Linked DNA regions of Coturnix japonica. The protein of the gene in region 2 interacts with the protein of the main gene of each other region in a pairwise test. Links are inferred from orthologs where the notes say so. Each region holds a gene or a part of one and is shown on either strand. Other genes may lie near its edges. The genes, in order: EIF5A2 and DHPS.

Evidence for each region.
Region 1: the proteins of DHPS (region 2) and EIF5A2 interact in binary tests that used the Homo sapiens proteins (3 or more experiments, as listed by UniProt). The two-hybrid records come from large-scale screens. The link is inferred for Coturnix japonica from reciprocal best matches to the Homo sapiens genes DHPS and EIF5A2.

Annotation. Positions count from the first base shown.
Region 1 is NC_029524.1:17,439,236-17,443,552, reverse strand, and holds the start of EIF5A2 (eukaryotic translation initiation factor 5A-2), read right to left. Parts: upstream 3,074-4,317; 5' UTR 2,973-3,073; intron 2,759-2,972; 5' UTR 2,743-2,758; coding exon 2,578-2,742; intron 1,613-2,577; coding exon 1,508-1,612; intron 1,149-1,507; coding exon 1,017-1,148; intron 584-1,016; coding exon 524-583; 3' UTR 1-523. UniProt on the Homo sapiens protein: Translation factor that promotes translation elongation and termination, particularly upon ribosome stalling at specific amino acid sequence contexts.
Region 2 is NW_015439889.1:91,746-96,270, reverse strand, and holds the start of DHPS (deoxyhypusine synthase), read right to left. Parts: upstream 2,935-4,525; 5' UTR 2,899-2,934; coding exon 2,653-2,898; intron 2,010-2,652; coding exon 1,845-2,009; intron 1,309-1,844; coding exon 1,187-1,308; intron 1,102-1,186; coding exon 1,005-1,101; intron 931-1,004; coding exon 844-930; intron 745-843; coding exon 639-744; intron 565-638; coding exon 461-564; intron 379-460; coding exon 253-378; intron 182-252; coding exon 86-181; 3' UTR 1-85. UniProt on the Homo sapiens protein: Catalyzes the NAD-dependent oxidative cleavage of spermidine and the subsequent transfer of the butylamine moiety of spermidine to the epsilon-amino group of a critical lysine residue of the eIF-5A precursor protein to form the intermediate deoxyhypusine residue.

The DNA.
Region 1 (4,317 bases), on a different chromosome or scaffold from region 2:
GATTGGTACCTACAGTTCTGCAAGAGTCCAATCCACAAAATTGTTAAGCTTTAAAAAAAATATAATCAACAAAACAAAGAAAGCTACTTTTATTGTCAGTTCTATCTAAACATGTCAAGAAAAATACTATTTGTGCTCTAGGTCACTTTATAATCCTAGATACCTACTAGCTTATCTAAAAGCCCCTGAATACTGTATTTTGTCTGTTCATACAGACAAACACTGTTTTGCTCAAGCAAATAAAAAATATATCCACTAGTAACACCTGAACGGTTTCTTAGATCCAGAGCTGAAACCCACAGGAATGTTAAAATAGTTACAATTAAGGAATTAAAATCTCAGTGATTTTGAAAACTGCCAGTTAGCCTGCAACACTAATCCAGAATCCAGCACTGCTTTGTAACAATTCAAAAAAGAAATGAGGTTGCTTGTGAAGGCCAGAGCTTTGGTGACAATCAGAACCAAATTTAAAGATCTGTGGTTTATCCAGACCTGAGCAGTTGCCCGTGCCTGGCGATCCTCTTTATTTGCAAGGCTTTATGGCTACAGCACATTCTTCATTCATTGCACTTATGACGGATATCTGAAAGAAAAGACACACAGGTTAATTCCAACCCTCCACAGCAGAATTGCTCCTAGAAGATACAGGCGATCACACCCGACGGTGCAAGATTGTGGCATCTCAAGATTTGTTTTCAGCTTTAAGGTGTTTATACAGCACAGATTACATCGCAAGGCTCCACACAAGAAAGAGTGGAAGCTCCAATCTACACCAAGCAAACAGCACTGCTAGGATCTATCTTGATATCTGAGACTCAGATCACTGTCAGCAGAGCTGGGCTTCAGTGCCACACTGTGTGCCCCTACACAGATGTCCTAATTGCCAAGGAACCAATTCCCAGGTTTTTAACTCTTTCTTCATATAACAAATAACTACATAATGGAGAACACGTATTCTTATGTCAGGCAAGGCCAATTAAACATCTCTCTTCTTGCCTGCCTAACTCTATTCTTACCTGCACATCTTCATTGGCATTGAATTTTCCTTCGATTTCTTTTCCCAGGTCACCTTCTGGCAGCTTTAGATCCTCACGAACTTCACCACTTTCTGTCAGCAGGGAGAGATACCCATCCTGAATCCCTATCAGCTGCAAAGAGAAGGTCATTATTAGGATGTTTAACACGAGCAGCAAGATGAGCAGAAGGCACAGACAGCTGTTACACTAATTCTTTAGTACCGTGTTTCTAATAGTTAAGAACCTAATTTGCCCTGTGAGGTTGATGGCACAGTAAGCAGGAGATTTCTATCCAGACAATTCTTGACAACTTGAACTGTTGAGTAAATGCTCCTGGTTCAGCAGTGCCACATCTGGACAGACAAGTTTGCCAAACTCTGAAGGCAGCAGTACTGTATTAACTGACAAGCAGTCTTGTGGTGAAAAACACTTTACTTGAAGTGTTAGGAGTTGTAGATTTATGGAAATGTGGGAGGATAACATTAACTCACCTGGTAATCATTCCTCTTTATATTTGGGACATCCATGTTATGAGTTGATGGGCAAATATCTTCGTATTTTTTCCCATTGAAGATATCGATACCAACCAGGTGGACCTACAAAGAAAAAGAAAGAAGATCAGTTCCTGTTCATCCTACAGGAGCCAAACAGCACTGAAATCAGCGCTGCTGGTCCCATATGGGGCTTCTTGTCTTTTAAAAGCTAACATGTGAGATGAGATTGTCCTCAAATCCTTTGCATGCTGTGTGAGAGGCCCCTCAGGTGTCCTTCCATATTTCAGATCATCCACTAAAGGAAACGAGTGAAGGCCACAGTCCTCACCTCTAATCATTTTACAACACAAGGTAAAGCTCAATGCTCTCAACTTCTGTTTTGTGACTGTTAAAAGAACATTTATTTCACGTTCCAGCTGTTGTGTGAAACAACAGGATGGTCAAGGAGAACAGAAACGACCACGTGCTGAGATGAGAGCAGCTCCCACCTCCCAATGCTTGCAGCAGCTGCTCAGAGCACATGGATTAGCAATTTACAGCCCACCCTACTCAGCTCTCTTCACTCTCACAACCGGTTCAGTATTTAGCAGTACTATGTAAGACTGGGGGGGGGGGGAAAAAAGGGATTTGCCATGAAGTGCAATGAGAAGGACAGAAAAAAAAACCACCCAGCAGAGTCTTGGCAGCCTCCAGCTTGACCAAACGCTAAATACTTCCCGCGTATCACATGAGGCTGTGGAAACTTAAGATAGCAAACGAGCCCGTGTTTGTAGATCCGCCTCACCATACGAGCTTAGTGGAGCCCAGCCCGGACAGCTGCGGAGCCAACTGCTGGGGCAGCACCAGTCGCGGCCCGGGGAGCGTGGCTGGGGCGGCCAGCGCGGTGCAACCACGCCCTGGGGATTTCATCAGCCCCTTCCAGAACTTACCCAGCCCATCGCTCATCGTTTTATCACCGCCGCCCCGCGATCCCGCCGACCATCCGATGCAATGAGAAGCCCCCGGCCCTGCCCGGCCCAACCCCCCGGCCCCGCTGGTGTCGCAGTACACGCGGTGCCGCCGCTCACCTTGGCGTGGCCGTGCTTTCCCGTCTTGGAGGTGGACATCTCGACGATCTTACATGGGCGGCCCTTCAGTACCACGAAGCCGTTCTTGCGCAGCGCCGAGCACTGCATGGGGTACGTGGACGAGGCGCCGGCGTCGCCCGTCGTGAAGTCCAACTCGTCGGCCATGGCGGCGGCTGCGGGGCTGAACGCACCGAGTCGGTCCGAGCGCGTGTCCCCCCTCCCGGCTCCCACCCCCCACCACCCCGATACCGGAGCGCCGCGCACCGCCCGCCACGTGCCCGCCCTCGGGGCCCTCAGCGCCGCGGCCCAACCGGCCCTTAGAGCCGTTAGAGCCGGGCACGGAGCGGCCGGGAGCCGGGTAAGGGAAAGGGGAGCGTTGGTTCGGCCGCTCTTACCTGCGGAGCGCGGCGGGGCGGCCGGGAGGGCGGGCGGGGGCACACGGCGCCGCGCACACGCGCCCGACCACTGCGGAGCGCGGCGGGAAGGGGCGGCGGGCGGCGGGCAGAGAGAGCACCACGCCCCGAAACACGCCCAACAACTTCCGCTCCGTTCATGAGCGACCATTGGGCCGGCACACAGCGCACCGCACCGCCCCGCGGCACTGAGACCGACACGTGCGGGGAGGTACGGAGTGCGGAGTGGGACAAATGGAGACGGGAGAGGAGCGAGGACGCAGGGGGGAGACATGGGTGTATCGCACCGACAGGACTGAAGGGGGCGCTGCGAACACGGAGCACACATGCATATATATATACATACACACATACATACATACATACATACATACACACATACATACATACACACACATACATACATACACACATACGTACATACATACATACACACATACATACATACACACACACATACATACATACACACATACATACACACATACATACATACACATATACATACATGCATACATACATACACATATACATACATACATACATACATACACACATACATACATACATACACACACATACATACATACACACACACATACATACATACACACATACATACATATACATACATACACACACACACACATACATACATACACACACATACATACATACACACATACATACACACATACATACATGCATACACACATACATACATACATACACGCACACACATACATACACACACATACAGACATACACACATACATACATGCATACACACTTACATACATACATACATACACACATACATACACGCACACTTACATACATACACACAGACACACACCTACCTACCTACCTATATACATACAAACACACATACACACACACACATACATATATACATACATACAGCACCAGCAGTTTGGTTTCAAGGCGTGTTTGTAACCATCGGGGTCTCACTTTACATGTATTTGTTTTGGTACGTGTGCTCAGAGCACTGCACACACCTGGACTGTGTCTCTTCTTCTGAGTATGCTCAGTGCGTTATTGATCTTCATCTCTCTAAGTGTTCATATCAGTCACAGCAGAAATGAGCAGTGGGCAGAAATGAGCTTTGGAAGGTCACAAATAGCAAAGAACGGGCACAACTCATTCATATCATGAAGAAGTGCCTGGTGCCCTGAAGCACTGCATTAAAGCCCAGCCTCAGCCATGTATATCGCAGCCAGCCCTGGGGCAAACACACAGCCTTGTTACCGGCAAACTCAACACAGCACAGGACAATGCTGGGCTCAGCAGACCCTCTGTGTTCCTG
Region 2 (4,525 bases):
AGTGAGGGATCTGACCCCCCCAGCTGTGGGCTCAGCCCCCCCTGGGGCATGTTTCCCCTCACACACACACACACACACAAACAGCTCAGTCCTCATCTGTGGGCACTGGGAAGTCAGCTGCTCTCTGTGCAAACGTCTCCGCCACCAGCAGCGGAAAAACCAGCGAAGCATCAGCATAGACCTGCAGGAGAGGGAGAGGGAGACCCTCGCGTCCCCCCCAGCACCCCCCAAACCCCCTCCCTGTGCCCTCACCTTCACTGGCGTGGCGTCCATTCGGATCTTCCCCCACGAAACAGCCTCATCCGGCTGCGCCCCAGAGTCAGACCCATCAAACTCCTGAGCTGTGTTCACATAGACGGAGAAATCGGCACCGTTCCTCTGCAAGGAGAGGGAGCACAATGAGGGCACTGTCCCCAGTTGCCAGCCCCCCTAATCCCCCTCCCCACAGCCCCCCCCTCACCATCAGGTTGGCGTTGGCGATGTGGTGTTTTACCAGTCCCCCCCCCAGGATGATCATCCCTGTCTTGCGGGCAAAGATGGCCCTCGTGTTGATGAGCCTTAGGTCTGTGGGGGGGTACAGCTGTCACCAGGAGGGGTCCTGCTGTCATCCCCCCCCCCACCATGGGGAAAAAACTCACCTTCCACGATGTCCAGCACCAACCCCGGGTGTTTGTAGGAGTGGAAGAAGATCATATCCCCCAAAGAGCCGTCAGTGAGCGCTGGGCTCAGCACCGGGATGTTGTTCTGGGGGAGGATGTGGTGACAACAGGGGAGCACGGGGACCCCCATGGGAGTGTGGGGACCCCCCCCCCAGGATAGACGCTGGCAGAGATGCCCCCATACCTTCTGAGCCCAGTAACACACTGACTCGGGGTTGTTGATTTCCTTCCCCAAACGTGCGATCATCCGTGATGGCGTCCACCTCACGCCCTGTGGGACCCACAGGTGACCCCACATCCACCCCCCAGTGACCCCACGTTCCCCCCCACACCTCCCAGCTCCACCTCTGTCTCCTGCTCCTCCACCATCTGATCCAAGATGGGCATCAGCCAATCCTCAAACTTGCAGTAGTTATCATTGGGCACCAGCAGGTTTCCAATCCTGGGGGGAGGGTTGTGCTCAGACATCTTCATACCCCCCCATACATCCCCCCCCCGGTTTCCTCTCCCCCCGGGTGTCCCCACACCGGTTGATGCCGTTCTGCCGCAGCTCCCGGCCCCGCAGACTGAAGTCCCCCACGTAGGTGGGTGCCAGGCATTTAATGAGGTCCTCCTCCACACCGCCCGCTGTTGTCACCACCACATCCACCTGCCCAGAGGGGGGCAAGAGTGGGGGGGGGGCTCAGGGAGCCCTCAGGGCCAGCGCTGAAGACCCCCTCCCCCAAGGTACTGAGACCAGTGCGGCCCCAAAGCACTGGGGGCAGCATAGAGACCCCTGGGGACACGTCAGGGACCCCTAGAACCCCTGGGGACACTGGGACACCACAGGGACCCCAGGACCCCCCACCCACATCAGAGGGGAACCCCCAGGCTCCAACCCCCTCCCCCAAAACCACACCCACAGCCTCCCCGCAGTCCCCCCGTACCATCACACACTGCCCCAAGGTGCCCCAGGACCCCGTTACCACCCCCGAGGGTTGGGGAGGGGGCTCAACAATGTGAGGAACCCCCCACAACTCTCTACCCCATCTCTGTACCCCAGGACCCCTCTGTGAGCTCCCCCAGGACCCCAGCAATTGACTGGGGGGGTGGCTAACAAACTGAGGACCCCCCCCCATATCACCCTGTATCCCCGTTACCCCCCGTTACCCCCCGTTACCCCCGTTACCCCCGTTGCCCCCGTACCATGCGGTGCTGCACGAGGAAGCGGATGCTCTCCCGCACCCCGGAGCTGATGAGGTTGGAGGTGAAGCCCAGGAAGATGGTGCAGCCCGAAGCCGCCCCCGCGGCGCCCCCCAGCTCAGCCCGGCTGCGCTCAGCAGCGCTCAGCGGCTCCATCTTGGCAGCGATCTACGGGACGGAACCGGGTAAGGGGGGGGGAAACGGAACCGGTAAAGGGGGGTAATGGAACCGGTAAGGGGGGGTAATGGATCCGCGGTAAGGGGGGGTAAAAAAATTTTGGGGAAAAATTCCGGTAAGGGGGGGAAAACGGAACCGGTAAGAGGGGGGATTAATGCGATCCGGTAGGGGGTAGGGAAACGGAAACCGGTACAGAGGCAGGGATAATGATTCAGTTAAGGGGGCGGGAAAACGGAACCGGTGAAGAGGGGGACTATGGGAACGGTAAGGGGGGTAATGGAACGTATTACGGGAGATAATAGACCCGATAAGGGCGCGGGAAATGCGAACCGTAAGGGGGGATAATGGATCAGGTAAGGAGGTAATGGATCCAGCGTAAGGGGGGGTGATATGGAACCGGTAAGGGGCCGATAATGGACGGTAAGGGGGGAGATAATGGAATCCGGGTAGGGGATAATGGAACCGTAAGGGGGAAACGGAACCGGTAAGGGGGGAGATAATGGATCCGGTAAAGGCGGGGGGAAACGGAACCGGTAAGGGGGTGGTAATGGAACCGGTAAGGGGGGATAATGGAACCGGTAAGGGGGGGACGGATCCGGTAAGGGGGGGGGGTGCCGGTGCCGCCCCCCCGCACCATGCGGCGGATCTCGGCGACGGCGCGCGCGAAGTTCGTGGCCTGGAACCCGGTGGTGAGAAACGAGCGCAGCACCGCGCCCGGGTCGGGGCCGTCCGCGAAGTCGTATCCGCGAACCGGGAGCGTCTGAGCGGGGAGCGGGGCGCTGCGCTTCAGCACCGCGTGCAGGGCGGCGGCCGGGGCTTCCCCCGACGGCGGCTCCTCCGCGGGGCCGCTGAGCTCCGTGGGCCCCATGGGCGCCGCCATCTTGGGCCGCCCCCCTGCGCCTGCGCGGTGGAGGCGCAGTACGTCGGAGCGCCGCCATCTTGAAGAGGAAACGGTGGCCGCAGTGGGTCAAAAGGCGCCAGAAAGCGAAGCGTCAAACGGTGGAGAGCTCTGTCGAAAACCCAAACCCTGAACCTCTTAAACCCCAAATCCCGCCGTAATCTGCCTCTAAATCCCAATCCCCGAATCTAGGCCCACTCCTAACCCCCACAATTCCAAACCCTGACCCCAAACCCCCCCATCCTGACCCCAAACCCCCCCATCCTGACCCCAAACCCCCCCACATCCTGACCCCAAACCCCCCCACATCCTGACCCCACTCTGCCCCACAAAGACACACCACAGCCACACACCTCCAGCCAAATCCCTTTAATTCCTGCACAACGGGCCCCTCTGAGTCCATTGGGACCCCTCTGCCCCCCAGGGGGTCCCCATCTCTGGCCATGGGAAGGGGGGAGGAGGGTTGAGGGGCAAAGCCCCCATTCCTGGGGGGGGTCACAGCCACATTCAGCCTCCAAACTTCCAGACCTCCACCGAGAGCCCCCCGGAGGCAGCTGCCACCACGTCGCCCTCGACGCTGATCTGGGGGAAATGGTGGAGATCAGGAGAGGGTGGGAACAACGGGGCGTCCAGGAGGGAAAATGTGACCCCAGCCCTTACCCCATTGAGAACATCATCGTGCGTCCAGGAGCAGATGGTGCGGGGGGGGTCCGTGGGGACGTGGATCTGTAACAGAGAGACGCCATTTCTTCCTCCCCCCATTAAGATATTATGGGAATTGGGGGGGAGGCACCTCGCCAGCCTCACACAACCCAACCCCTCAATCCCAGTGTGGGGTGGGGGGGTCGCCACGTGAGGTTGGGGTCCCTCACCCGCATGGTGCGGTCGGTGGAGGTGGTGTACAAAGATCCTGCATTCTGCCACAGCCCCGTGATCTGCAGGCGGTGTCCCACGTCGAAGCGCTGCAATGGGGGCATTGAGGGGAGGGGTACGGCCCCAAAGACCCCCCTCCCAGCCCTATATGTGGCTTTATACCCGCTCCGCTCGGAAGTGGCCGTCGCTGTTCCCGAAGACGTGGACCCGGCCCTGGTTGTCCCCAGCCCAGAGTTGCGTCCCCCGATATGACATGGAGAGGAGGTAATGCTGCAGCTGTGGGGCAAAACACGGGCTTATGGGGCAAGCGGTGCTGCAACATTGTGGGGAGAAAGTGGGATGGGGAACAGTGCTGCACCCCAAACCCCAAATCCAGCCTTCAAACATTGATTATCAGCCCCCAAGGCGTGAATAATGTGAGGCGGATGGAGCCCCCAGCCCCACACTTGGGGGTCAGCCCCACCTGCAGGCGCTGCAGGATGCCGTCAGCACGGCGGTCGATGACCACCAGGGTTCGGTCTTCACTCCCAGATACGATGAGACGGTCATCGGCTGCCAGCGCCAACACTGCGCTGCTGTGGGGTTTGTAGGATCGCACCGGGGTCTGGGGGGCTGCTGTGGGGGGGTGGGGTGGTGAGAGCTGTGCCCTCCAAGTGCTGCCACCCCGTATGTGTGGGGCTGGACTTACCTCGTGGGTCATATGCAGCCACTGTTTTGTCGTAGGTTCCTGTGATGA